Anolis sagrei: one gene and its partners. The protein of the gene in region 1 purifies or fractionates together with the protein of each later gene. This does not show direct contact. Links are inferred from orthologs where the notes say so. Each region holds a gene or a part of one and is shown in the gene's direction. Other genes may lie near its edges. The genes, in order: KAT2B, TAF10, GLI1 and ATXN7L3.

Region 1 (7,849 bases):
ACGAATTGGATCCAGGTTAGGTGTATTTAAAAGAGGCCCAGTGAAATCACTATGCCTTGCTAGTCTTCTGCTGTTTGCTGAAGTCCCATTGATATCTCTTTGCATGTGTAAGTCTGGGAGTGCATCCAGACTATGAAACTGATAGAGTTTGACACCCTTTTAACCGCTATGACTCAATGTCATTGAATACTGGGATTTCTTTGGCAGGGATGGCTAAAGACCTTGCAAAATTACAATGCCCATGATTCCACAGTACTGAGTTATAGTAGTTAAAACTGAATTAATTCTACAGTGTGAATGCACCCTGGATTTGACCCATGGTTCTGCTTCAGAACTGGATGTAGTTCTAGGTTTCTTCAAGACTTCTTTCGGTGCCAAACATATTGCTATAAGGGGCACATCTATGCTGACTCTGTGGTAACTTCACACTCAGACCTCACAACCTCTGAGGATGCCTGCCATAGATACAAGCGAAATGTCAGGAGAGAATGCTTCCGAAACATGGCCATACAGCTCAGAAAACTCACAACAACCCAGTGATTCTGGCCATGAAAGCCTTTGACAATACATTTAACTTCACAATGATTCTATGGCAGCTGCATAGTAACTTTGGTGGAAGAGATTCCTTATGGGGCCAGGCTTTGTACTGCAGGTTAAACTGCTAAGCTGCAGAAAATCCTAGGTTGGTAATTCGAGCCCTGGTTGGAGTGAGCTCCCACCCTCAGCCCCAGCTTCTGCTCAACTAGCAGATCAAAAACAGCAATATGAGTAGATAAATAGGTGCCACTTTAAAAGTGGGGAGGTAATAAAAGTCACCCGTAAGGACATGCTGACAATTTGATTGGGAGGACGTCTATGGATGACAAGGCTCCTTGGCATGAAAAATTGAGTGACAGCACACACACACATACACCCGGCTGGAGTCGAGCACAGCCAGATGTCGGAAATGGAAAAAGATGGGAAAGCCTTTACATCTGTTTATATAGTCCGTTCTTGTTAATTGTACAACAGCATTGAATGTTTGCCATATATGTGTTCTGTAATCCACCCTGAGTCCCCTTGGGGAAATAGAGCAGAATATAAATAAAGTATACTATTATTATTTCAATCAGGTTCAATATTATCCACGATTTTCATTTTCCACAGTATAGTACATTTTGGAAACTATCCTCCGCAGATAAGGGAATCATATGGTATAGTGCAAACACAAAAAAGTAATCAAAGTACATAACCATTATCCATCTCCTCATCTCATTTGTAATCGGAACTATTCAAGCGAACTGGCAACAGAGGAAAATTCCTTACCCAGACTGGACCTACACTGCTCTACATCCCAGGGTCTGATCTCAGATTATTTTCTTATCCCTGATTTTCTGGCACTGTAGACTCATACAATCTAGTTCAAATCAGATAATCTGGGATCAGGTCCTGGGATATAGAGAGCAGGACCAGTCTGCTCTCATATCTTTACTTATTCTCAAACTGGCAAGCCAATGCAAAAGAGAGAGAGAGAGAGAGAGCAATACAAATTAACCCTCTACCCTGGACATCTGTTAATATGTTGCCATGGTGCTGACAAGGACCTTAAAACGCATCTGGCTTGGAAGAGAGACCTTATACACTATAGTCAATATCCATGTTACATCATACAATGGTATCCAGTGTGGTTTTATTTCACCTCAAAAATGCCAGAGCCTAAGGATCTGTGAAATGGTCCAAGGCTACTGCAAGGTACGACTAAACATAAGGTGTAGAGCCAATTGGTGTACAGCCAATTAAAGTTTGGTTTTTTGACTTCTTTCTCCAAAATATTTTCAAGCCATTGGTTGAATCTGTGGGTAGCGAACCCATGGATGTGGAGGGTCGAGTGTACTTGCACATTTCCCCTTTATGGCATTAGCTTATAGAGCCACATAAGAATAATTAAATGTCCATTCCACCTTCTGTTTCTTACTGATTAAACTTGCTTGGATTAATTTATGACAGATGTAACAGCAACAATTTACAGAGATTTCAAAATACAGCTGCTACCTTATGAACCATTATTTGCCTTTTTGAACATATTACCTTGGTAGAGCTTAAGGGACTTCGCTGGCAGCTTAGTCTGTTTTCAAGCACAGTTCAAAGTCCTGGTGTTTTCTTTTAAAACTTATTCAGTTTTGAGCCTCGGTACCTGAAGAAAGATTTTGCTCATGTACCAATCATGTGTTGAGGCTGTCTTTGAAGGGCTTCCTGGCATTTGAGATAAGAAAGGTGGAAACCAGAGAGGGGGCTTTTTCACTTTGTGATTTCCTTTCCTCCTATCCATTCATGGAATTTCTTCCCTGGAGATGTGTGCATGGTGGCAGTACTTTTCGTGCCAGGCAAAGTTATTCCTGTTTTTAAATGCTGGGATTTATCACAATTAATCTCGATTTAGTTATCTCCTTAGAAGCATTGCTGAAGAACAGTGTATAGATTTTTAAACAAGCAAATAAGTAGCACAACCGCAGGAACTAGAGAGTGCTTTTATGACTTATGTTCATTGTGAACTAATTCCTACTCAAGAGTGTTATATTTACAATCGGCCCTCTGTATCCACACATTCTTTATCCAGGGAGTCAACCTTCCATGACTTGTAAAAAAAAAAGGGGGGGGGAGTGGGGAGCAAACAGTGGAAATGAAAAGCACAGATTTTTGGTGGACAAATACAGGTGTGTGAAATAAAATGTAACCCTGGAACCAAACTCCAGCACATACATATTTGAAAACAAGAATTATAATAGTAATAATAATAATAATAATAATAATAATAATAATACTTTATTTATATTCTGCTCTATCTCCCCGGAGGGACTCACAGTGGATTACAATATACAGATAGGAAAACATACAATTGAATAATCCCCACCCCCACCCCCGAGGGATACTGAAATGGAAGTTTGTGCCATTCGAATAAACTACCTAGAAATATTAAAGGATTTCTTTCACTCACTTTTCTGGGGAATTTATTGATTGGCCACCACAGTTTGAAACTTGCTTTGAACTGAATTCAATGGTCAGTGTAGATGGGGCCTGTATCATCACTATCCAGGTCTCCAATTGGTTTCAGGATATCCTATGTAATTATTTGTACACTGAAACCACTTTTTTCAATGCTGATTTGAAATTGCATTAAATGGTCAGTACAGATGGGGCCACAAACCACGGAACAGTGATGCACATTAAGGGCTTTCTTTCACACGCTTTTGTGGAAGTTTGTTGTATGTCCATTGCAGTGTGAAGCTAGCTTCGGACTACATTAAACCATCAGTGTAATGGTGCTTAATCAGGTATCGGCAAACTTCAGCCCTCCAGGTGTTTAGGATTTTTCCCCCTCAGAACAATAATTTTCCCTCAAGTTCCTTCATGAGGTCTACTGAAGTGAACATGTTGCCCTCAGAACAATCCCTCAGAAAAGTAGCCCTTTGAGGGCTATTGAAGTGGCAATTTTTGCCCTCAGAATGCATGTAAAGTTGTTTTTTGAGAAGCTCCTGCTGCTCCCTCTGCCACTGTAATCTTTCTCCCTCGAGCCTCTTAGTGAGGGCCACTAAATGGGACATTTTGTCCTCAGAACAGTAATTTTCCCTCAAGGTTCCTTTCTGAGAGCTACTGAAGAAGGTGTTTTTCCCTAAAACTCCCAGAAATAAAGCACTATTTTCTGAGAAGCTCATCTTGCCCTCTGCACCTTTGCAGATGTTTAGCCCTCAGAACAATCCCTCAGAAAAAAAGCCCTTTAAGGGATATGGAAGTGTAGGTTTTGCCCTCAGAAAAGTAGCATGTTGAGGGATGCGGAAGTAGAGGTTTCACCCCAGAAGAGTAGCCCTTTGCGGGATACGAAAATGGAGATTTCACCCTCAGAAAAGATGCTCTTTGGGGGATACAGAAGTGGAGGCTTTGCTCTCAGAAAAGTAGCCCTTTGAGGATACCGAAGTGGAAATTTCACCTCAGAAAACTAATCTTTTAAGGGATATATATATATATATATATTGTCAGGAGCGACCTGAGAAACTACAAGTCGCTTCTGGTATGAGAATTGGCCGTCTGCAAGGACGTTGTCCAGGGGACACCCGGATGATTTGATGTTTTTATCATCCTTGTGGGAGATTTCTCTCATGTCCCCGCATGAGGAGCTGGAGCTGATCCGCCTCTCCCCGGATTCGAACCTGCGACCTGTGGGTCTTCAGTCCTGCCTGCACAGGGGTTTAACCCACTGCACCACCGGGGCCTCTTTTGAGGGATATGGAAGTGGAGGTTTCCCCCTCAGAAAAGTACCCCTTTGAGGGATACAGAAGTTGAGGTTTCGCCCTCAGAAAAGTAGTCCTTCGAAGGGTATGGAAGTGAAGGTTTTACCCTCAGAAAAGTAACCCTTTGGGGGATACAGAATTGCAGGTTTTGCCCTCGGAAAAGTAGCCTTTTGGAAGATATGGAAGTGGAAGCTTCGCCCTCAGAAAAGTAGCCCTTTTAGGGATACGGAAGTGGAGGTTTCACCCTCAGAAAAGTAGTCCTTTGAGGGATATGGAAGTGAAGGCTTCACCCTCAGAAAAGTAACCTCTTGAGCAGGCATGGGCAAACTTCGGTCCTCCGGGTGTTTTGGACTCCAACTCCCACCATTCCTAACAGCCTCAGGCCCTTTCCTTTCCCCCCTCTGCCGCTTAAGCGGGGGAAAAGGAAAGGGCCTGAGGCTGTTAGGAATGGTGGGAGTTGGAGTCCAAAACACCGGAGGGATGTGGAAGCCACTGCGACCCTCCCTCAATCCCTCAGTGACACTCTGAGGGCGCGTCATTGAGGCACCCGGCGAGGGACGCCTCAGTGTGGTGAGTGCCGCCCGCAAGGCGCTCACAACAACAACATGTCGGCCTGCTGGCTGTGCGCGCTGCTGCCTCCTTAGCGGGCGCCTCCTCCTCCTCCTCCTCCTTTCCTGACAGGACCCGCCCGCGGTGTGCGGCCTGTCCCCTCCCTCCCTCCCGAGGGAGCAGCAGGCGGAGGCGCGGCTCCAGCGGGCGCCCGAGCCCGGCCCTCAGCGAGCCTGGCGGCGGCGGCGGCAGCGACTCCCACACCGCAACCCCGCCATGGCTGAGGCTGGCGCGGCCGGGCCGGGGGAGGGCGAGGCGGGGAACAGCAATGGCGGGGCCGGGGCGCTCCAGCAAGGCTCGCCGGCTTCAGCGGGGACGCCCGCTCGAGCTCCGGCCGCCGCGACTCCTCCTGCGCCCGCCGAAACCAGCCCTGCAGCGGGAACAGCAGCGGGAGGAGGAGGGAGCAGCAGCGGGAGCAGCACGGGCGGGACAGGCAGCGGGGGACCCGGCTCGGCTCGCATCGCGGGCAAGAAGGCGCAGCTCCGCTCCGCACCCCGCGCCAAGAAGCTGGAGAAGTTGGGCGTCTATTCCGCCTGCAAGGTAAGCACCGGCCCCGGAATCATCATAAGCCCCAAGACCCGGAGCGGGAGAGGCGAGCGGCGCGCTTCCCCGTGGCAGCCGACAGGGGGCGCCCGCTTGGGTGTCGGCGGAGGATTGAGTGACAGGAGGAGAGGGCAAGGGAGGGGTCGCGCCTGACTCCTTGGATTAAAAGGAGAGGATCAAAACACAGAGAATGACACGCACAATAGAGTGTGGGGTTTTTTCCCACTTGGTGTCTGGCTGGCAACAAGTTTCTCTCTAGAAGCGCAAAGTTGTTGTTGTTACTAATGTTGTTGTATTTACATCCTGTTTCCCTCTCCTAACGAAGCTCAAACAGTATGCGACCTCAGGCCCCATCTGCACTGACCATAGAATACAGCTCAATCTGAATTAGTAGTGAACATGGGACCACAGACTTGGTGCATGGAGTTAGTTTCACTTAATTCGGATTAGGTAAAGTAAGTCCAGTCATGTCTGACTCTGGGGTGTGGTGTTCATCTCCATTTCTAAGCCGAAGAGCCGGCGTTGTCCATAGACACATCCAAGGTCATCTGGCCAGCATGACTGAATGAAGCGCCGTTACCTTCCTGCCGGAGCGGTACCTATTGATCTACTCACATTTGCATGTTTTCGAACTGCTAGGTTGGCAGAAGCTAGGGCTGACAGCAGAAGCTCATGCTGCTCCCTGAAATGGAACCTGTGACCAGGCCGGTAGCCAGGATTTCGATTCGGGGGGAGGGGGGCTGAGTTTGTTTCGGGTGGGGGGGGCTGAGTCTGAGTGAAAGAGGGTCTAGCCTAGCAAACCTTTTGTATCGTTACCCCAATACCCCCATGCATATGGGATATATTGACTATGGTGATCAGATCATGATATGAATAAACAGTTTAAATAATGCACCAGTAAGGCCTTTTCGCAAACCACCATGAGAGTTTTTTTGGGGGGGGGGGGGGCTAAAGCCCCTCAAGCCCCCCCCCCCCCCCCCCCCGCTACATGCCTGCCTGACAGTAAGTCCAGTCATGTCTGGCGCTCGGATGTGGTGCTCATCTCCATTTCTAAGCCGCTGGAGCGGTACCTATTGATCTACTCACATTTGCATGTTTTTGAACTGCTAGGTTGGCAGAAGCTAGGGCTGGCAACGGAAGCTCACGCCGCTCCAGGTGCTTTGGACTTCAACTCCCAGAATTCCTGGCCTCAGCAGCTGAGGCGGAAAAGGAATGGGCCCAAGGCCAGGAATTCTGGGAATTGAAGTTCAAAACACTCAAAGGGCTGAAGTTTGCCCATGCCTGATATAATAGGTATTAAAATAGTTATATCACTGCAATGTTGTAGGTTTTTCGGGGTGTATGGCCATGTTCTAGAAGCATTATCTCCTGACCTTTCGCCTGCATCTGTGGCAAGCACCCTCTGAGGTTGTGAGGTCTCAAACAGCATTAATTGTACAGTGCACATGCATCCTTCCCAATGGTTACCACATATTGGGGGTAACTAATCCGAATTAAGTGAAACTAACTCCATGCACCAAGTCTGTGGTCCCATCTACACAACCTCTGAGGATGCTTGCCACAGATGCAGGTGAAACATCAGGAGAGAATGCTTCTAGAACATGGCCATACAGTCTGGAAAAACCTACAACGATGCAGTGATTCCGGCCATGAAAGGCTTCAACAATACATAGTTATATCAGCTTGAATGTAAAGCTTGGCTTGGAAGCTTTTATCCCTCACAGACAGAAATATCTCTCATCATGTAAGCTAAGTAGAGTCAGCTTTGGTTAGGTCTAGGATGGGAGACCACCAAGGTGAACCTGACAAAACCACTTTGAAGAAAACCCTATGAAAGTTATAGGATCGCCATAAATTGACAGACAGCCTGAAAGTACACACATTTGATCTAGGCAGAATCAGGTGGTAGTTACGTATCAAGAAAAACACTGTATTGTCGAAGGCTTTTGTGACTGGAATCACTGGGTTGTTGTAGGTTTTTTCCGGCTATATGGCCATGGTCTAGAGGCATTCTCTCCTGACGTTTCGCCTGCATCTATGGCAAGCATCCTCAGAGGTAGTGAGAAAAACACTGCCCATGTTTAGTATTAGTCGTGTGTCCCTTGTTACCTATGACTTGCAGCTATCAACCTCTCCCATTCCTCTCCTCACAGAATAACATTGCTCAAACTCTCATTGCCAAATTCCTCTTCCTCCCATGCCTCTCAAACTCAAAGAGTTTCCCAATTTATCCCTTTTAATTCCAAATCTAAGACTTGAGTTCAGTTTCCCCATTTTGCACCCATTTGTGTGACCTATTGCCCCATACTGATTTATTTTATTTATATTTATGTTTATGTTTATTATTATCTCACTTTTATCTCTTGATCAAGACACAAAATTAAAAATACAATTTAAATCCATTGTGTAAAAATATTAAAGTAGGATTAAAC
Region 2 (7,632 bases), on another chromosome or scaffold:
GACTTGCAGTTTCTCAAGTTGACACAACAAAAAAAGTGCCTCCTTAAAGGCCGCTGCAACGTATACAATATATACAGATCTTCCGGCAAAGGATAGTTGCCTTGTTGCGGTGCTGGAGCTTGAGCGACTTGATGATGCCACGAGTGAAACTGTGAAGGGACACCCAAGACAAGAGGTCAGACTAAATATGATCCCTGGGGAAGATCATGGCAACCCACCCCAGTATTCTTGCCAGGAAAACTAACTGGATCAGTGCAACCAGAGAGACGTCTGGCAGGGAACTCTGGGCTGGTCTGGTCCAGGAGGTCAGGCAGAGTCGGAAGCGATTGAATGAGTAAACAACAAAAAATTATAGAAATAATAACATTGTAGTGTAAGAACACTAATATATATATATATATATATACACACACATACACACACAGACATATATCATATGATGCTGTCAAGGTGATGCATGCCATATGCCAGCAAATATGGAAAACACAAGAATGGCCATCAGACTGGAAAAAATCAACGTATATCCCCATACCAAAAAAGGGAAATGCGAAAGACTGCTCCAACTTCCGTACAGTGGCCCTTATTTCTCCTCATGCCAGTAAGGGAATGCTCAAGATCCTGCAAGGAAGACTCCAGCAATACATGGAGCGAGAGTTGCCAGATGTTCAAGCTGGGTTTAGAAAAGGCAGAGGAACCAGAGACCAGGTTGCAAATATCTGGATGCTGGAGAATGGAGAAAGGCAGGGAGTGTCAGAAAAACATCTACTTCTGCTTCATTGACTATTCTAAAGCCTTTGACTGTGTGGATCATCATAAATTGTGGCAAGTTCTTGGTGGGATGGGCATCCCAAGCCACCTTGTCTCTCTCCTGAGGAATCTGTCCAAGGACCAAGGAGCAACAGTCAGAACTGACCACGGAACAACAGACTGGTTCAAGATTGGGAAAGGCGTCCGGCAAGGCTGCATACTCTCACCCAACCTTTTTAACGTGTATGCAGAACACATCATGCGATGTGCGGGGCTGGATGAATGCAAAGCTGGGGTGAAAATTGCTGGAAGAAACATTAACAACCTCAGATATGCAGATGACACCACTCTGATGGCCGAAAGCGAGGAGGAGCCGAGGAGCCTTCTAATCAAGGTGAAAGAAGAAAGCGCAAAAGCCGGGTTGCAGCTAAACGTCAAAAAAACCAAGATTATGGCAACAAGAATGATTGACAACTGGGAAATAGAGGGAGAAACCGTGGAGGCCGTGACAGACTTTGTATTTCTAGGCGCAAAGATTGCTGCAGATGAAGACTGTGGCCAGGAAATCAGAAGACGCTTCCTTCTTGGGAGGAGAGCAAGGTCCAATCTCGATAAAATAGTGAAGAGTAGAGACATCAGACTGGCAACCAAGATCCATTGCCTAGTCCAAGCCATGCTCTTCCCTGTAGTCACATCTACGGAGGTGAGAGATGGACCTTAGGGAAGGCTGAGCGAAGGAAGATCGATGCTTTTGAGCTGTGGTGCTGGAGGAAAGTGCTGAGAGTGCCTTGGACTGCAAGAAGATCCAACCAGTCCATCCTCCAGGAAATAAAGCCCGACTAAAGCTCACTGGAGGGAAGGAGACGAGAGGGAAAGCTGAAATCCTTTGGCCACATCATGAGGAGACAGGAAAGCCTAGAGAAGGGAATGATGCTGGGGAAAGTGGAAGGCAAAAGGAAGAGGGGCCGACCAAGGGCAAGATGGATGGATGGCATCCTTGAAGGGACTGGACTGACCTTGGAGGAGCTGGGGGTGGTGACGGCCGACAGGGAGCTCTGGCGTGGGCTGCTCCATGAGGTCACGAACAGTCGGAGACGACTGAACGAATGAACAACAACATATAATATTAATGATGTTGTAATACATTATATATACTGCAACTTATGATACAGCATACTATATAATACTAAGGTAAAGGTTTCCCCTTGACCTTAAGACTATCTGTGTCCAACTCTGGGACTCTGGTGCTCACCTCCATTTGTAAGCTGAAGAGTCGGCATTATCCATAGACACACGAGTGCCATTACCTTCCCGCTGGTGCAGTACTTATTGATATATGCACTTTTGCATGTTTTCTAACTGCTAGGTTGGCAGAAGCTGGGGCTGACAGTGGGAGCTCACCTCGCCCCCTGGGTTTGGACTGCCAATCTTCTGGTTTGCAACTTCTGCAGCCAAGCAGTTTTTAATAATAAAAATGCAATATGTAATATTATAATAATTGGATTATTATATTAAACTTATGTATTAAATATTATATATATAACATAATATAAAATATTTATTTAATATATAAATATATATTTTAAATATTAAATATTAAAAATATTAAATACCTCATTTTTAATTTGTATGAAACGTACAACCTGATTTTTTCAAGTCAAACTGCAAGCATCTCTTAATATGTTTTAAAACAATATAATAATAAAAATGCAGTATATAACATTATAATGATTGGAATATTATATTATTTTTCTTTATTAAATATTAAATTTTTAATTGTTATTGAATATATAAATATAAATAGATATAAATATTTCTTTAATATATAAACATAAACATTAAAATATAAAATATATTTAATCCATACATATAAATATATAAATATAAATATTAAATATTAAAAATACTAAAATTTAAAAGTATTGAATACCTCATTTTTAATTTGTATGAAACATACAACCTGATTTTTTCAAGTCAAACTGCAAGTGTCTCTTAATAAAGATCTTAAAAACCTTTACGTAAAATAATATAATAATAAAAATGCAATATGTAATATTATAGTTATTGGAATATTATATTAAATTTATGATTTATTAAATATTAAAATTATTAATTTTATTTAATATATAAATATAAATAAATATTTATTTAATATATAAATATAAAACATTTAATATATACATATAAATATGATAATTAGATTATATTAAAATTATTATTTATTATATTATATATATATAATATAAAATTATAAATATATATATTAAAATAAATATAAATATAAAATATAAAAATTATATATATATATATATATATATATATATATATAAAATATTAAAAATTAAAAATACTAAAAATTAAAAATATTAAAAACCTCATTTTTTAATTTGTATCAAAAGTACAACCTGGAAGCATCTCCTAATAAAATTAGTCCACGCTCTGGTTACATCCCGCCTTGACTACTGCAACGCTCTCTACGTGGGGTTGCCTTTGAAGACAGCTCGGAAGCTCCAACTAGTCCAACGCTCGGCAGCCATGATTTTAACAGGAGCGGAGCGCAGGGAGCATACAACCCCCCTGTTGCGCCAACTCCACCGGCTACCGATCTGCTACCGGGCTGAATTCAAAGTGCTGGCGTTGGCCTTTAAAGCCCTAAACGGTTCCGGCCCAAGCTACCTATCCGACCGCATCTCTGCCTATGAACCCACCAGGACTTTGAGATCTTCCGGGGAGACCCTGCTCTCGATCCCGCCTGCTTCTCAAGCTCAGCTGGCGGGGACGAGAGATAGGGCCTTCTCGGTGGTGGCTCCTCGGCTGTGGAACGCCCTTCCTGCGGACATTAGACTGGCACCATCTCTAATGGTATTCCGCAAAAAGGTGAAGACCTGGATGTTTGTGCAGGCGTTTGAGTAATTTAGTGCAATCTGGTAATGGAACATCGGAATGGAACAATGGACGACGAACCTGGACTACGCTTGGATGATGAGAAGGTTGGGTACGGTTGTTTTTTGTCATAATTGTGCATTGTAATTGCTTATTGGTAATTTATGGATAATGTGTTAAGTCAATTGTTCTATGTTGTATGGAACCACTGCTGTTTCTACTGTTTTTACTGTTTGTGAACCGCTGTGAGTCGCCTTCGGGCTTGAGATACAGCCGTAGAGAAGCAAAGCAAATACATAAATAATAAATAAATAATGTTTTAAAAAAAACTCATTCCTAATTTGTATGAAACGTACAACCTGGTTTTTTCAAGTCAAACTGCAAAACAAAACTGGAATATTTATATATTGCATGTATATTACATGTATATTACATGGACTGACCTTGAAGGAGCTGGGGGAGGTGACGGCCGACAGGGAGCTCTGGCGTGGGCTGGTCCATGAGGTCACGAAGAATCGGAGACGACTGAACGAATGAACAACAACACATGTCATGTTGGGATAATATAGAGAGGGATAAAGCGGGATATATAAACCAACCAAGTCTAACATCCGGGTACTCTGGTCAGGGCTAGACCCGGATGTGAGTGCACTTCAGGAGCAGCGGACCATTTCCGGAAGTGGGCGTGAGTGTGGTGCGCATGCGCCACTTCGCCCGGCCTTCGAGGGGGCGTGGCTTCAGGAGCAGCGGCCATTCTGGAAGTGGGTGTGAGTGTGGTGCGCATGCGCCACTTCGCCCGGCCTTCGAGGGGGCGTGGCTTCAAGAGCAGCGGCCATTTCCGGAAGTGGGCGAGAGCGTGGTGCGCATGCGCCACTTCGCCCGGCCTTCGAGGGGGCGTGGCTTCAGGAGCAGCGGCCATTCTGGAAGTGTTATGAGTGTGGTGCGCATGCGCCACTTCGCCCGGCCTTCGATTAGGCGTGGTTTCAAGAGCAGCGGCCATTTCCGGAAGTGGGCGAGAGCATGGTGCGCATGCGCCACTTCTCCCGGCCGACCCGATGAGCTCGACAGGCGGAGCGGGAAGCGGGGAGGGCGAGGCCGGGCCCGGGGCTCCCTCCGGCGCCGCGCCTCCCCCCTCCGGCGTCGCCTCGGCAGCCCCTCCCTCCGCAGAAGCCCCCTCCAAGGCCGGAAGCGGAAGCAGCAGCAGCCCCGGCGCGGGGACAGGCCTTGCGGCCTCCACTTCCGCTTCCTCCTCCGCGCCTCCTCCTCCTCTTCCCCCCGCCACGGCCCCCTCCCTCCCCACCGCCGTCCTGCTCCTTCCCTCGGCTCCCGTCCCGGCTGAAGGCCCTCCTTCCTCCTCCTCGAGCTCTTCCTCGTCCAGCTCCTCCTCCAGTTCCTCCTCGTCGTCCTCCTCCTCGGCGCCCAACGGGGGTCTCTTCGCGCTGCCGGCCAACGCGGAGGCCAAGCCCGGCGGCGCATGCGCATTCTCCGCCGCCGCCTCCCCCGCCTCTGCCTCCTCCGCCCCGCCTCCCCCCTCGAACGCCGCTGCTTCCGCTTCCGCCGCCTCCCCTTCCGCCGCTGCCGCCAACGCCTCCGCCGCCCCCCTCGTCGACTTCCTGCTCCAGCTCGAGGACTACACGCCTACCGTGAGTGGCAGCACTGCAGGCCCTTCTCCCCCTCCCTCCCTTCCTTCCTTCAGGGGTTTGGGACTCCAATTCCCAGCATTCCTGGCCTCAGCCCCCTTCCATTTCCCCCTCAGCCGCTTAAGCGTCCCACCCCGGAGTCTAAGATCTTCTGGGGAGGCCCTGCTTTCGGCCCCACCTCTATCACAAGTGAGGTTGGTGGGGACGAGGAGCAGGGCCTTCTCGGTGGTGGCCCCTCATTATTATTATTATTATTATAACTTTATTTGTATACATCTCCCCAAGGGATTCAATGCGGCTCACACAGGCCGAAGCCCCAAAACACAATACAACAATACAATACCCGAAGCAAATTAAAAACAGTTAAGCAGGAAAACAATAACAGTAACAATACAACAAAACACTATTAAAACTGAGCCGGCCAGAGTAGGGGTACTGGGTTAAAAAGTGCTGGTGTGGCAGGACAGATGTAGGATTAGATATAAGTGCGATGTGCAGTGTGCAGTGATCTTGGTTCTACTAAGGTGCTTCTAGGATTTGGTGCTGGAGGTTCCTAATTTGAAAAGGCACATCGGAACAGCCAGGTCTTCAATTCCTTTCTGAAGACAGCCAATGTAGGGGCTTGTCTGATCTTTCAGGAGGGCGTTCCAGAGTCCTGTCTCGTGTCCCCACCAAGCGCGCTTGCGACACGGGCGAGATCACGAGCAGAGCCTCTCCTGATGTGAGCGTGTGGGTTCGTAGACAGCGATACGGTCACGCAGGTAGGGTGGTCCCAAACCGTTCAGGGCTTTGTAGGTAAGCACCTGCACCTTAAATTGGGCTCAGAAAATAAACGGCAGCCAGTGGAGTTCCTTAAACAGGAGGGTTGACCTCTCTCTGTAGTGGGCCCCAGTTAACATCCTGGCCGCTGCCCGTTGGACCAATTGGAATTTCCGAGCCGTTTTCAAGGGCAGCCCCACGTAGAGCGCGTTGCAGTAATCCAGTCTAGAGGTAACCAAGGCATGGACCACCCCGGCCAGATCAGCCTTCGCGAGGTACGGACGCAGCTGGTGCACAAGTCTCAATTGTGCAAAAGCCCTCCCGGCCGACGCCTGAGCCTCAAGCGTGAGCGATGAATCCAGGAGGACTCCCAAGCTACGGACCTGTGGCTTCAGGGGGAGTGTAACCCCGTCCAACACAGGCAGCCACCCTATATCCCGGTCTGGTTTGCGATCGACCAGGAGGACCTCTGTCTTGTCAGGATTGATCTTCAGCTTGTTCCTCCTCATCCAGATAGACACAGCGGCCAGGCACTCGTCCAGCACCCGAGAGGCCTCCTTGGAATTAGGTGGAAAGGAGTAGTAGAGTTGTGCGTCATCCGCATAGAGATGGCACCCAACTCCAAAACTCCGGATGACCTCTCCCAGCGGTTTCATGTAGATGTTAAAAAGCATGGGAGACAGAATGGAGTCTTGTGGGACCCCACAGGTCAAAGGCCAGGGGTCAGAGCAGGTGTCTCCCAGCTTCACCATCTGGGTTCGTCCCTCCAGGAAGGACCGGAGCCACGACAGAACCGTGCCCCCAAGGCCCATCCCAGAGAGGCGACCCAGAAGGATACCATGGTCGATGGTATCGAAAGTCGCTGAGATGTCCAAGAGAACCAGCAGAGTCACACTCCCCCTGTCCAGCTCTCTACAGAGGTCATCAACCAAGGCGACCAAGGCTGTCTCGGTGCCATGACCAGGCCTGAAACCTGACTGTGACTGATCTAGGTAGTTGATGTTGTCTAGGAAGCCCTGGAGCTGGGAGGCAACCACCTGCTCCAGCACCTTACCCAAAAAAGGGAGGTTGGAGATTGACCTATAATTGTTCAGCACCGTGGAGTCAAGGGAAGGCTTTTTGAGGAGTGGGCGAACCACAGCCTGTTTCAAGTTAGATGGAAAATTCCCTTGCTCCAACGATGCGTTAACAGTCAACACCAATCAACCAACCCTTCCTTGGCAGATTTAATAAGCCAAGATGGGCAAGGGTCTAGAGTCGAAGTGGTCGCCCTCACGGCCCCAAGGACCTCCCCCATGGTCTCAGGAAGAACAAGCCTAAAAGAATCCCACAAAATTGGACAAGCAGATGCCTCCGTCACCTCCTCTGGCACTGCGATGGAATTGGAGTCAAGCTCAAGGCGTATCTGAGCAACTTTGCCTGCAAAATGGTGTGCGAAGTCGCAACACCGAGCTGCTGGGTCATCAATGATCCCCTCCACCACAGGTGGGTGAAGAAGCTCCCCGACAACCCGAAACAGCTCTGATGATCTATTTGCTGCAGACGCTATACGGGTGGTCGTGAAAGATTCCCTGGCCATCCGTATAGCCACGGAATATGCCTT
Region 3 (6,835 bases), on another chromosome or scaffold:
TGTCCTTGCACATAATTCTATATCTGTTTATTGCACGGTTTCTCCAAAGGCTTGATCAAAGAACCACGTTTTTACTCTCTCACTGAAGGTTAGGAGGGAGGGGGTTGATCTAATATTCCTTCAGAGGGAATTCCACAGCTGAGGGGCCATCACTGAGAAGGCCCTGTCTCTTGCCCCCACCAGTTGCACCTGCGAAGGAAGTGGGACCGAGACCAGGGCCTCCCCGGATCTTAAACTCTGAGATGGTTCATATGAGGAGATCTGTTAGGACAGGTAAGCTGGGCCGGAACCATTTAGGGCTTTATAGGCTAAAACCAGCACTTTGAATTGTGCTTGGTAGCAGACCGACAGTTAGTGGAGCTGACGCAACAGGGGAGTCTGCTCTGGTAAGCACTCTGGCTGCCGCCCATTGGACTATTTGAAGCTTCCAAACAGTCTTCAAGGGCAATCCTATGTAGAGCATGTTGAATTAATCTATATGGGTTGTAAACAGAGCATGGTCTACCATGGCCAAGTCTGACTTGCCAAAATACAGGCGCAACTGGCGCACAAGTTTTAATTGTGTGAATGCTTCCCTGGCCACTGCTGAAACCTGAGATTCCAGGCTCAGCAATGAGTCCAGGACTCCCAAGCTGCAAACCTGCACCTTCAGGGGGAGTGTAACCCCATCGAACACAGACTGTACCCTATACCATGCTTGGCTTTGTGACTGACCAGGAATACCTCTGTCTTGTCTGGATTCAATTTCAATTTGTTTGCTCCCATCCAGGCTGACACAGCTGCCAAGCACCGGTTCAAAACCTGAACAGAACCTACTTATTAGCAGGTGGAAAGGAGTAATAGAGTTGAATGTCATCTGCATACAGATGGCATCGAACTCCAAAACTCCGGATGATCTCTCCCAAGGGCTTCATATAGATGTTAAACAACCTGGGAGACAGTATTGAGCCCTGCAGGACCCCGAGCAGGTGTCCCCCAACAACACCTTCTGGGAATGACCCTCTCAGAAGGACAGGAGCCCCTACAGAACAGTACCTCCAAAGCCTATTCCTGTGAGGTGTTCAAACTACAGGAAAGGAGATGCCACCTGAACATGAGGAAGAACTTTCTAACAGTGAGAGCTGTTCAGCAGTGGAACTCTCTGCCCCAGAGTGTGGTGGAGGCTCCTTCTTTGGAGTCTGTTAAGAAGAGGCTGGATAGCCATCTGTCGGGGCTGCTTTGAATGTGATTTTCCTGCTTCTTGGCAGGGGGTTGGACTGGATGGCCCACGAGGTCTCTTCCAACTCAATGATTCTATGATTCTATGAAAGCCCTGAATGCATGCTGCATTGCCCAAACACTGTGCTGACAACTTGCCCTCTGCAACCACATGGAAGTGGCCACCGTAGCTAGCTATTACTATGTGCCATGATGGTGAAGGACGCCTCTCTGACCCCTTCAACACAGCTGAATAGACTCCAACAGTATCTGGTAGGCCTGGGTAACAACGGAAAAATTTGTTTCTAAAATCGATTCGTTTTTTGGGGGTTTTTGCGTTTCGTTATTTAAAATAATTACAAAATTTTCCTTTAAAAAAGTTCGATATTTACGAAATTTCGTAAATGTGAAAAAAATTACAAAACATTAACGAATCGATTTCCGAAACAATAACGAATCGATTCGTTAATGGCGGACGCGACCGCGAAATACGCTAAAAAACCTCCAAAAACTTCTGAAGCTTCCCTCTCCCTCTGTTGTTGACTGTTGGTGTGATATTATAATTTTTTTTCACTAATTAAACCATAAAACTGGCCCAGACATGCGGAAATAATAACAAAACGACCTCAGAACAATAACGAAACGAATACAATAACGAAATACGAAGCATTTGCAAAACGTGTTTAAAAATTCGTTTTTTTAAAAAATTGCTCCAGAATGGTTCGTTATCGTTTTGTAATTGAAAAAATTAACGAATTATTAACGAATTACGAATTAACGAAACGAAACCGCCCAGGCCTAGTATCTGGTATATATGGCAGTGGACTCAGGGCCCTTCCACACAGCCCTATATCCCAGAATATCAAGGCAGAAAATCCCACAATATCTGCCTTGAACTGGGTTATCTGAGGGCCTTTCCACACAGTCCAATATCCCAGAATATCAAGGCAGAAAATCCCACATTCTCTGAGTGTAGATTCACATAACCCAGGGCCCTTCCATACAGCCCTATATCCCAGAATACCAAGGCAGAAAATCCCACATTATTTGAGTGTGGACTCAGATAACCCAGTTCAAAGAAGATATTGTTGGGATTTTCTGCCTCGATATTTTGGGATACAGGGCTGTGTGGAAGGGCCCCTCAATAACCCAGTTGAAAACACATATTGTGGGATTTTCTGCCTTGATATTATGAGATATAGGTATTTGTGGAAGGGCCCTGAGTCCACACTCAGATAATACGAAATTTCCAGCCTCGATATTCTGGGATATAGTGCTGTGTTGAAGGGCCCAGGGTTATGTGAATCCACACTCAGAGAATGTGGGATTTTCTACCTTAATATTTTGGGATATAGGGCTGTGTGGAAGGGCCCTCAGATAACCCAGTTCAAAGCAAATATTGTGGGCTTTTCTGCCTTGATATTATGGGATATAGGGCTGTGTGGAAGGGCCCTGGGTTATCTAAGTCCACACTCAGATATTGTGGGCTTTTCTGCCTTGATATCCTGAGTTGTATGGCTGTGTGAAGGGCCCACAGAAAATCCAGTTCAAAGCAGATATTGTGGGTTTTCTGACTTGATATTCTGGATTATAGGGCTGTGTGGAAGGGCCCTGGGTTATCTGAGTCCAGACTCTGATAATGTGTGATTTTCTGCCTTGATATTCTGGGATATAGGGCTGTGCAGAAGGCCTTGGGTTATCTGAATCCCGACTCCGACAATGTGGGATTTTCTACTGTGATATTGTGGGTTATAGGGCTGTGTGGAAGGGCCCTGGGTTATGTGAATCCACACTCAGAGAATGTGGGATTTTCTGCCTTAATATTTTGGGATATAGGGCTGTGTGGAAGGGCCTCCAGATAACCCAGTTCAAACAAATATTGTGTGCTTTTCTGCCTTGGTATTATGGGATATAGGGCTGTGTGGAAGGGCCCTGGGTTATCTGAGTCCATACTCAGATATTGTGGGATTTTTTGCCTTGATATCCTGGGATATAGGGCTGTGTAGAAGGACCCTAAGTCTACACTCAGATTCTGTGGGATTTTCTGCCTTGATATTCTGGGATATAGGGCAGTGTAGAAGGGCCCTTCGATAACCGAGTTCAAAACAGATATTGTGAGATTTTATGCCCTGATATTATGGGATATAGGGCTGTGTCGAAGTGCCCCGAGTCCACACTCAGATATTGTGGGATTTTCTGCCTTGATATTCTGGGATATAGGGCTGTATGGAAGGGCCCTGGGTTATCTGAATCCACACTCATATATTGTGGGATTATCTGCCTTAATATCCTGCGTTATATGGCTGTGTGGAAGGCCCCTCAGATAACCCACTTCAAAGCAGATAATGTGGGCTTTTCTGCCTTGATATCCTGGGATACAGGGCTGTGTGGAAGGGCCCTGGGTAGAGTCCATGCTCAGATATTGTGAGATTTTCTGCCTTAATATCCTGGGTTATATGACTGTGTGGAAGGGGCCTCAGATAATCCAGTTCAAAGCAGATATTGTGGGATTTTCAGCCTTGATATCTTGGGTTATAGGGCTGTGTGGAAGGGCCCCCAAACTCCAGCCCGGATTTTCCAAGCTGCTTCAGAGGCTTGGGAGGCAGCATGCTGTGAGAACTGAGGCTGAGAGGGGCTCCTTCATCTCCAACCTCACACAGGGCTCAGCTTACCCTCCTCCTGCTGCTAAAGATCCCACCTTCTCAACAACAACAAAAAAGAAAGAAATCTTGAAAACTTTCCCTGAAAAAAAAAGAAAAAAAGAAAGAAAGCACCACCCTCTTCCTCCTCTTCTTCCTGAGCAGCCTGAAAGCCCTAAAGGGGAGTGTTGGGGGGAGAGATTTGGGGGAGAAAGAGGGGATCCCATCCCCTCCTGGCCCATCTCTCTGCTGCTGCTGCGCCCAGCCCTCCTTTCCCCAGCCGGCCGCCCAGGCGGAGCGGGCTGATTGGCTCCATGTGCCAAAGCTCAAGCAAAGCATCGGGAAAGTTTGGAAAGCAAACCAAAACTTCCTGCTTCAAGGTGGTCCTTCTCTCGGGCTCCAGACGGGAGGCTCGCACATTGATCATCGCGCCTGCTCCTGGGATGAAGTTGGTTTGATTTGAATCTCGGAGAAAAAGAAGAAGAAGGGGAGCAATATATATATTAATCAGCGTCGGTGGGATTTTCTGCCTCCCTTTTCTTTCCTCTACAAAAAGAAGGCAAAGCCACAATGTGGAAAATTTGGGGGATCTGGTGAAAGAAGCCACCCCCCTTCTCCCTCATCTCTTCTTCTTTCCTGATGGGGTTTTGTTGTTGTTGTTTGCGGGCGACACTCAGTAGCCCACCCTGGATGTTGCTAGCCTAGGGGAAACCAATCCGAAGAGAGAGGGAAACTGCCCATCTCGAGAAGCCCAAGAGCTGTGCTTGGGATCATCATGACTCCCCAACAATCCCCATCCAGGCTTTGAAAGGTAAGCTCTTTCTTCTTCAAAGCCCAGTTCTGTGTCTATTTGTGTGTATCTCCCATTGGTTTGGGGAGATGGACCTTATTTGTTTTGTTTTTGGCAACTGGCAGGTTTTGCCTTTCCAACACTCCTGAGTTTTTGTTTTTTTCTGACATGAGCAAAAAAGCAAGCAGCGTGGGTGGGAATTGGGAAAGGAATGGGAATGTTATGGGGTTTTTTTTCTTTCTTTCCTGAACTGCTACAAAGTTTGTCGGATTTGTCTCAACTTTCTTCAAAGGCCTCTTCCACACAGCTGTATAAAATCCACATTGGACTGAATTGTATGGCAGTGTGGACTCACATAATCCTGTCCCTGTGGATTCTCTGCTTTGATATTCTGGGTTATATGGCTGAGGCCCCTTCCAGACAGCTGAATAGAACCCAACAGTATCTGCTTTGAACTGGAATATATGGCAGTGTGGACTCAGACAACCCAGTTCAAAGCAGATATTATGGGATTGTCTGCCTTGACATTCTGGGTTATATGGCTGTGTGGAAGGGCCCCAAAAGGATTTTTGAAGGCTGGATCTATACTACCATATAGTCCAGGGGCCCTTCCACACAGCCATATAATCCAGAATATCAAGGCAGGAAATTCCACAATATCTGAGTGTAGACGCAGAACCTATCCACACAGCCCTGTAGCAAAAAATCCCACAATATCTGCTTTGAACTGGGTTATCTGAGAACCCTTCCACATAGCCCTATATCCCAGAATATCAAGGCAGGAAATCCGACAATATCTGCCTTGAATTGGAATATCTGAGGGCCCTTCCACACAACACTATATCCCAGAATATCAAGGCAGGAAATTCCACAATATCTGAGTGTAGACTCAGGACCTATCCACACAGCCCTGTAGCAAAAAATCCCACAATATCTGCTTTGAACAGCCCTATAGCAGAAAATCCCACAATATCTGCTTTGAACTGGGTTATCTGAGGACCCTTCCACATAGCCCTATATCCCAGAATATCAAGGCAGGAAATCCCACAATATCTGCTTTGAATTGGAATATCTGAGGGCTCTTCCACACAACACTATATCCCAGAATATCAAGGCAGGAAATTCCACAATATCTGAGTGTAGACTCAGGGCCCTTTGACACAGCCTTATATCCCATAATATCAAGGCAGAAAATCTCACAATATCTGTTTTGAATTGGAATATCTGAGGGCCCTTCCACACAGCCCTATATCCCATAATATCAAGGTGGGAAATCCCACAATATCTGCTTTGAAGTGGGTTATCGAAGGGCCCTTCCACACTGCACTATATCCCAGAATATCAAGGCAGGAAATCCCACATTGTCTGAGTGTGGACTCAGGGCCCTTCTACAAATTCCTATATCTCATAATATCAAGGCAGAAAATCCCACAATATCTGCTTTGAACTGGGTTATCGAAGGGCCCTTCCACACAGCCCTATATCCCATAATATCAAGGCAGGAAATCTCACAATATCTGCTTTGAACTGGGTTATCTGAGTCCACACTCAGATAATGTGGGATTTTCTGTCTTGATATTCTGGGGTATAGGGTTGTTTGGAAGGCCCAGAATCCACACTTCCATATATCCCAGTTCAAAACAGATAATGTGGTATTTTATTCAGATGTGTGGATGGGGCCCAGGTTATCAAAGCAGATCATCCACATCATCTCTGTTGAAGTGGATTCTATGAGGTCCCTTCTACACTGCCGTATAAAATCCAGATGATTTGCTTTGAACTGAATTATGTGGCAGTGCAGACTCCCATAATCCAGTTCAAAGCCAAAAATGTGCATCGTCTGATTTGATAATCTGGATTATATGGCAGTATAAAAGGGCCCTGAGTCTACACTGCCATATAATCCAGGTCAAAGGAGATAATTTGGGTCATATATGATAGTGTAGATGGGGCTGAAAACACATCTTGTCCAGGAAGAAGTTGGTGAGCTCCTGTCTTGAAACCCGGCCTCAAAAGCAAACTTTTGAGGGTGGTAAACTTTCTGATTCCAAGCAAGTTTCTACACTTTCAGAATTTTGATTGTTGGCCAGACCCAACAGAGAACGGACATTGCCAGATTGCTCTCCGCACCCCTCTCACATCTTTTCTTTCTGTCAGATTTTGATTCAACCACCCAAAAGAAGTCTCCATCAATCCTGTTCTGCAAAAT
Region 4 (7,273 bases), about 43 Mb from region 1:
AACAGCCATAGACTCTACCTAATTTCCCGGACACTAGCCCCGGCCTGGCCTTTTAAACTGCCTTGAACAGGCAGGATTATTTTAAATATTTATGTGCTATTGTGGTTTTTATGCTTATATTGTCTTGTGAATTGTTTGTTTATGCTGTTTTCCTTGTATGTATTTTTTTTAAATTGAAGCAAAACCATTTTTATTGATCAGCCAATTGGCCTTATCATAACACACAATATAAGCACAATGTACAGTATACATCTGTTGTTGTTCATTCGTTCAGTCGTCTCCGACTCTTCGTGACCTCATGGACCAGCCCACGCCAGAGCTCCCTGTCAGCCGTTACCACCCCCAGCTCCCTCAAGGTCAGTCCAGTCACTTCAAGGATGCCATCCATCCATCTTGCCCTTGGTCGGCCCCTCTTCCTTTTGCCTTCCACTTTCCCCAGCATAATTGTCTTCTCTAGGCTTTCCTGTCTCCTCATGATGTGGCCAAAGTACTTCAACTTTGTCTCTAGTATCTTTCCCTCCAGTGAGCAGTCGGGCTTTATTTCCTGGAGGATGGACTGGTTGGATCTTCTCGCAGTCCAAGGCACTCTCAGAACTTTCCTCCAACACCACAGCTCAAAAGCATCGATCTTCCTTCGCTCAGCCTTCCCTAAGGTCCAGCTCTCACATCCGTAGGTTACTACAGGGAATACCATGGCTTTGACTAGGCGGATCTTTGTTGCCAGTCTGATGTCTCTACTCTTTACTATTTTATCGAGATTGGACATTGCTCTCCTCCCAAGAAGTAAGCGTCTTCTGATTTCCTGGCTACAGTCTGCATCTGCAGTAATCTTTGCACCTAGAAATACAAAGTCTGTCACGGCCTCCACATTTTCTCCCTCTATTTTCCAGTTGTCAATCATTCTTGTTGCCATAATCTTGGTTTTTTTGACGTTTAGCTGCAACCCGGCTTTTGCGCTTTCTTCTTTCACCTTGATTAGAAGGCTCCTCAGCTCCTCCTCGCTTTCGGCCATCAAAGTGGTGTCATCTGCATATCTGAGGTTGTTAATGTTTCTTCCAGCAATTTTCACCCCAGCTTTGCATTCATCCAGCCCCGCACATCGCATGATGTGTTCTGCATACAAGTTAAAAAGGTTGGGTGAGAGTATGCAGCCTTGCCGTATGCCTTTCCCAATCTTGAACCAGTCTGTTGTTCCGTGGTCAGTTCTGACTGTTGCTACTTGGTCCTTGTACAGATTCCTCAGGAGAGAGACAAGGTGGTTTGGGATGCCCATCCCGCTAAGAACTTGCCACAATTTATTATGATCCACACAGTCAAAGGCTTTAGAATAGTCAATGAAGCAGAAGTAGATGTTTTTCTGAAACTCCCTGCCTTTCTCCATTATCCAGCGGATATTGGCTATCTGGTCTCTCGTTCCTCTGCCTTTTCTAAACCCAGCTTGAACATCTGGCAACTCTCGCTCCATGTATTGCTGGAGTCTTCCTTGCAGGATCTTGAGCATTACCTTACTGGCATGAGAAATAAGGGCCACTGTACGGAAGTTTGAGCAGTCTTTCGCATTTCCCTTTTTTGGTATGGGGATATAAGTTGATTTTTTCCAGTCTGATGGCCATTCTTGTGTTTTCCATGTTTGCTGGCAAATGGCATGCATCACCTTGACAGCATCATCTTTTAAGATTTTAAACAGTTCAGCTGGGATCCCGTCATCTCCTGCTGCCTTGTTGTTGGCAATGCTTTTTAAGGCCCATTCAACCTCACTCCTCAGGATGTCTGGTTCTAATTCATTCACCACACCGTCAAAACTATCCTCAATATTATTATCCTTCCTATACAGATCTTCCGTATAGTCTCGCCACCTTCTCTTGATCTCTTCAGCTTCTGTTAGGTCCCTGCCATCTTTGTTTCTTATCATACCAATTTTTGCCTGAAATTTACCTCCAAGGTTTCTAATTTTCTGGAAGAGGTCTCGTGTTCTTCCTATTCTGTTGTCTTCTTCCACTTCCATGCATTGCTTATTTAAAAATAGTTCCTTATCTCTTCTGGCTAACATCTAGGCTGAGTAAAATTATAAATATACAAGTACAGAGAGAAAAAGAGGGGGTGGCCAATTTGTAACCAAATACACCTTAATCTTAAGTATACACAGGCCTGTAGCCAGGATTTTGATGGGGGGGGGGGGGGGGGCTGAGTCTGAGTGAAAGAGGGTCTACCCTAGCAAATCTTTTGTATTGTTACTCCAATACAATATTGAGTATGGTGATCACATCATGATATGAATAAACATAACAGTTTAAATAATGCACCAGTAAGGCCTTCTCGTGGACCATCATGAGAATTTGGGGGGGGGGGGGCTGAAGTCCCTCAAGCCCCCCCCCCCCCCCCCGGTTACATGCCTGAGTATACACCGTATATACTGAAAAGGTCTGTTGGTTGTTTTGCTTGCTTGTTTGCATGCTGCATGTCGCTTCTGGTCACTTCTGGAATGAGAGAATCAGCCATCTACGAAGACGTTGCCCAGGGGATGCTTGGATTTCTTGCAATCCTGCGAGGAGGCTTCTCTCATGTCCCCAGGCAAAGCCGGTATTGCACCACCTGACATTCACTGGGAAGTAGCAACTAATAGTGAAAGGACCAAGGCTGTGACATCTCCAGCTCATCCCCTGTTTGGGTATCAGCCAGCTCGTCAATGACTTAAATCAAGAAATAGTTTTCTAAGATCCACAGAGACACTCGCTGGAACACCTCAGCAAGCAAGAGTCCAAAAGTGGCAGGCTCAAACGTATATACTCAAATATAAGTACTATAAATACATAAATACTTATTTGAGTATATACGGTTTGTTTATTTATCGTGTCAGGGACAGACCAAACAGTTGCACTGCATTTTTAACAAACAAACAAAACAAAACAAAGTTTGCAGGCTTGGCAGTTGATTAAATGTCCTTTGATCAGTATCTGGCCACTTGGAGTGCCTCTGGTGTTGCTGCAAGAAGGTCCTCCATTGTGCATGTGGCAGGGCTCAGGTTGCATTGCAGCAGATGGTCTGTAGTCTGCTCTTCTCCACACTCGCATGTTGTGGATTCCACTTTGTAGCCCCATTTCTTGAGGTTGGCTCTGCATCTCGTGGTGCCAGAACGCAGTCTGTTCAGTGCCTTCCAAGTCGCCCAGTTTTCTGTGTGCCCAGGGGGGAGTCTCTCATTTGGTATCAGCCATTGGTTGAGTTGCTGGGTTTGAGCCTGCCACTTTTGGACTCTCGCTTGCTGAGGACCTTCTTGCAGCAACACCAGAGGCACTCCAAGTGGCCAGATACTGGTCAAAGGACATTTAATCAACTGCCAAGCCTGCAAACTTTGTTTTGTTTTGTTTTGTTTGTTTGTTTGTTAAAAATGTAATGCAACTGTTTGGTCTGCCCCTGACACGATAAATAAATAAACCGTATATTCTCTGCCAACCTAGCAGTTCGAAAACATGCAAATGTGAGTAGATCAATAGGTACCGCTCCGGCGGGAAGGTAACGGTGGCGCAGTGGGTTAAAGCACTGAGCTGCTGAGCTTGTTGATTGAAAGGTCGCAGGTTCGATTCCGGGGAGCGGCGTGAGCTTCCGCTGTCAGCCCTAGCTTCTGCCAACCTAGCAGTTCGAAAACATGCAAATGTGAGTAGATCAATAGGTACCTCTCCGGCGGGAAGGTAATGGCGCTCCATGCAGTCATGCCGGCCACATGACCATGGAGGTGTCTACGGACAACGCTGGCTCTTTGGCTTAGAAATGGAGATGAGCACCACACTCCAGAGTCAGACATGACTGGACTTAATGTCAGGGGACTACCTTTACCTTTATATACTCAAATATAAGTATTGTATGTATTGATTATGCTATTTGGAAACCGCTCTAAGTCCCCTCGGGGAGATAGAGCGGTATATAAATAAAGTTTTGTTGTTGTTGTAGAAGAGTAGTTAAAAGTTGGATTCAGTTCTGGTGTAAATCAAAACCCTGGTCCTCCAGGTGTTTTGGACTCCAATTCCCAGAAGCCTCAGCTGCTTGGGACAATGATGAGGGATTCTGGGAGATGAAGGCAAAAAAGAAAGAGCTTGGGCAACACTGATGGAATAAGATGCGCCCAGCCTCTACAGCAGCAGCAGCAGCTCTTCCTCGCATACAACCTTGAATGACAGGAGGGGGAAAAGGATGGCTGCGATTGGCTGGCTTCCTCCCCCTCGCGCTGCTCTTAGGCGTGCGCTTCCTCCTCCTCCGCGGCCTTCCCCGCCAGGCCCCGCCTCCTTGCCGGAGCCTAGCGAGCTAGGTTGCGCTCCGATTGCAAAAGGTGGCCCCCTCCCCTTTCCCTTTCCCTATTGCTGCCGCCGATGCTGGAGCTGGAGGGAAGGCGGCGGCGGAGGCGGAGGCGGAGGAGGAGGCGCTAGGCCGGACTGGCTCCCTTCTTGCCCGGGCCCGGCGGGGAGGGGGCATGGCTGCGTCGCCGGGGGCCCAGCACGCCGCCTGGGGGCCAGGCATGGGGGCCCTTCGCCCGCCTCAGGAGAGAGTGGGGGGTAAGTCCCCAGGGGAGGAGGAGGAGTGGAGAGGGAGGGAGCGGGAATCAGGGCTCTGCACTGAAGGGAAACAAAAGGGGATGGAGGAGGAGGAGGGACCTCGCTTCACCCTGCTCCTTCTACACTGGAGAATTAATCCAGTTTGGTCCCACTTTAGCTGCCACACCTTCAAGGCTGGCCCATGCTGGGAGAGACCTCAGTTAACCCTGCTGTGGGATCATGGGATCTGTGGTTTTCTTTACCAGGCCTCTGACTTCTTTCTGCACAAGAGTGCCTCACCAAACTACAGCTCCCATCTTTAAACTGTCTTGCTATGGGATCTGTAGTTTTATTTACCAGGCCTCTAGCTTCTCTCTTCCCGAGAGTGCCTCACTAAACTACAGCTCCCATCTTTAAATTGCCATGCTATGAGATCTGTAGTTTTATTTACCAGGCTTCTATCTTCTTTCTGCACAAGAGTGCCTCACTAAACTACAGCTCCCATCTTTAAATTGCCATGCTATGAGATCATGGGATCTTTAGTTTTGTTTATCAGGCCTCTAGATTCTTTCTTCCCAAGAGTGCCTCACCAAACTACAGCTCCCATCTTTAAATTGTCATGGCTCCATGCTATGGGATCATGGGATCTGTAGCTTTGTTTACCAGGCCTCTAACTTCTTTCTGCTCGAGAGTGTCTCACCAAGCTACAGCTCCCATCTTTAAATTGCCATACTATGAGATCTGTAGTTTTATTTACCAGGCTTCTAGCTTCTTTCTGCCCAAGAGTGCCTCACCAAACTACAGCTCCCATCTTTAAGTTGTCATGGCTCCATGATATGGAATCATGGGATATGTAGTTTTATTTACCAGGCCTCTAGCATCTTTCTGCCCAAGAGTGCCTCACCAAACTACGGCTCCCATCTTTAAATTGTCATGGTTCCATGCTATGGGATCTGTAGCTTTGTTTACCAGGCTCTAACTTCTTTCTGTCCAAGAGTGCCTCACCAAACTACAGCTCCCATCTTTAAATTGTCATGGCCCCATGCTATGGGATCATGGGATCTGTAGCTTTGTTTACCAGGCCTCTAACCTCTATCTGCTCAAGAGTGTCTCACCAAGCTACAGCTCTCATCTTTAAACTGCCATGCTATGAGATCATGGGATCTTTAGTTTTCTTTACCAGGCCTCTAGCGTCTTTCTGCCCAAGAGCAGCTCACTAAACTACATCTCCCATCTTTAAACATCCATGCTTTGGGATCCTGGGATCTGTAGTTTTATTTACCAGGCCTCTAGCTTCTTTCTGCCAGAAGTACCTCACCAAACTGCAGCTCCCGTCTTCATGTTCAAGGGGTGCACCTGCATTGTAATTAATGCAGCTCGGTCGCAGTTCAAACTACAATACGATGATGGGAGTTGTGGCTTGTACCAGGTCTTGGGCTTTCTCTGCCCAAGAGTGTCTGTGCTCCTCCAAACTACAGCTCCCATCTCCATGCTCAAGGGGTGCATCCACACTTTGGGAGGGAACTCAGGCCCCTTCCACACAGCTGTATAAAATGCACATTGAATAATAACAACAACAACAACAACAACAACAACTTTATTCTTATATCCCATAGCCATCTCCCTGAAGGGACTGGGGCAGCTTACACAAGGTACAAGGTGCTTAAATCAAGACATGATGATGATATAATAATAATAATAATAATAATACTTTATTTATACCCCGCCACCATCTCCCCAAGGGACTCGGAGCGGCTTACATGAGGCCAAGCCCAACAACACATCAATAAAACAAGTAATAAACAAAATAAACACTACAATTAGTATAACTCACACGTAGACAATAAACACAAGAATTAAAAAACCTATGCTTTATTCAGTTGTATAAAATACAACTGAATAAAGCATATAAACATGTAACAAAAAGATAAAACTCAGAATAAAACAGAACTGGAATATATGACAGTGTGGACTCAGATAATCCAGTTCAAAGCAGATATTGTGGATTATCTGCCTTGATATTCTGGGTTATGTGGCTGTGTGGAAGGGCCCTCTATTAATTCTGTTTAATGTGTTAATATTTGTAGATTTTAAGCCATATTGAAATGTTTTTAATGTACGCCTCTTTGAGTCTCCTTGTGGAGAGAAAAAGCAGGGTATAAACGAACAGAATAATACCAACAACAAAAACAACATTGGTCGGTGTATAGAATTGATGAAGTTTGGCCCCACTTGAACTACCATGGTTCTATGCAGTAGATTAATGGGAGTTGTAGTGTTACTTTCTCGCCTTCTCTTTCCAAAAGAGGGTTGATGCCTCACCAAACTATGTAGCTCCCATTCTTCCATAGCATTGAGTCCATGGCAGTTCAGGTGAGGCCAAATAGTCCTGCTGCCTCACCAAATTACAAATTCCAGGGTTCTGCTGCATTGTGCCATGGCAGTTAAAAGTAGGGTCAAATGGCATTAATTTCACACTGTAGATCGGGGGGGGGGGGTGTCATCAAACCTTTTAAACAGAGGGCCAGGTCACAGTCTCTCAAACTGTTGGAGGGCTGGATTATAATTTGAAAAAACATGAATGAATTCCTATGCACACTGCACATATCTTATTTGTAGTGCAAAAAACACTTAAAAACAATACAATAGTTAAAATGAGGAACAATTCTAACAAATATAAACTTGTTATTATTTCAGTGGAAAGTGTGGGCCTGCTTTTGGCTGATGAGATAGGATTGTTGTTGTGTGCT

What was found.
Region 2: the proteins of KAT2B (region 1) and TAF10 purify together in Homo sapiens (affinity purification with mass spectrometry; 6 studies listed by BioGRID and IntAct, with this or other methods). This does not show direct contact. The link is inferred for Anolis sagrei from reciprocal best matches to the Homo sapiens genes KAT2B and TAF10.
Region 3: the proteins of KAT2B (region 1) and GLI1 purify together in Homo sapiens (affinity purification with western blotting; 3 studies listed by BioGRID). This does not show direct contact. The link is inferred for Anolis sagrei from reciprocal best matches to the Homo sapiens genes KAT2B and GLI1.
Region 4: the proteins of KAT2B (region 1) and ATXN7L3 purify together in Homo sapiens (affinity purification with mass spectrometry; 5 studies listed by BioGRID and IntAct, counting the BioPlex papers as one, with this or other methods). This does not show direct contact. The link is inferred for Anolis sagrei from reciprocal best matches to the Homo sapiens genes KAT2B and ATXN7L3.

Annotation. Positions count from the first base shown.
Region 1 is NC_090026.1:87,238,609-87,246,457, reverse strand, and holds the start of KAT2B (histone acetyltransferase KAT2B), read left to right. Parts: upstream 1-4,843; 5' UTR 4,844-5,090; coding exon 5,091-5,414; intron 5,415-7,849. UniProt on the Homo sapiens protein: Functions as a histone acetyltransferase (HAT) to promote transcriptional activation. Has significant histone acetyltransferase activity with core histones (H3 and H4), and also with nucleosome core particles.
Region 2 is NC_090023.1:1,018,061-1,025,692, forward strand, and holds the start of TAF10 (transcription initiation factor TFIID subunit 10), read left to right. Parts: upstream 1-4,612; 5' UTR 4,613-4,685; coding exon 4,686-5,273; intron 5,274-7,632. UniProt on the Homo sapiens protein: The TFIID basal transcription factor complex plays a major role in the initiation of RNA polymerase II (Pol II)-dependent transcription.
Region 3 is NC_090022.1:185,742,009-185,748,843, forward strand, and holds the start of GLI1 (zinc finger protein GLI1), read left to right. Parts: upstream 1-3,834; 5' UTR 3,835-4,647; intron 4,648-6,835. UniProt on the Homo sapiens protein: Acts as a transcriptional activator. Binds to the DNA consensus sequence 5'-GACCACCCA-3'. Regulates the transcription of specific genes during normal development.
Region 4 is NC_090026.1:44,623,991-44,631,263, forward strand, and holds the start of ATXN7L3 (ataxin-7-like protein 3), read left to right. Parts: upstream 1-4,264; 5' UTR 4,265-4,544; intron 4,545-7,273. UniProt on the Homo sapiens protein: Component of the transcription regulatory histone acetylation (HAT) complex SAGA, a multiprotein complex that activates transcription by remodeling chromatin and mediating histone acetylation and deubiquitination.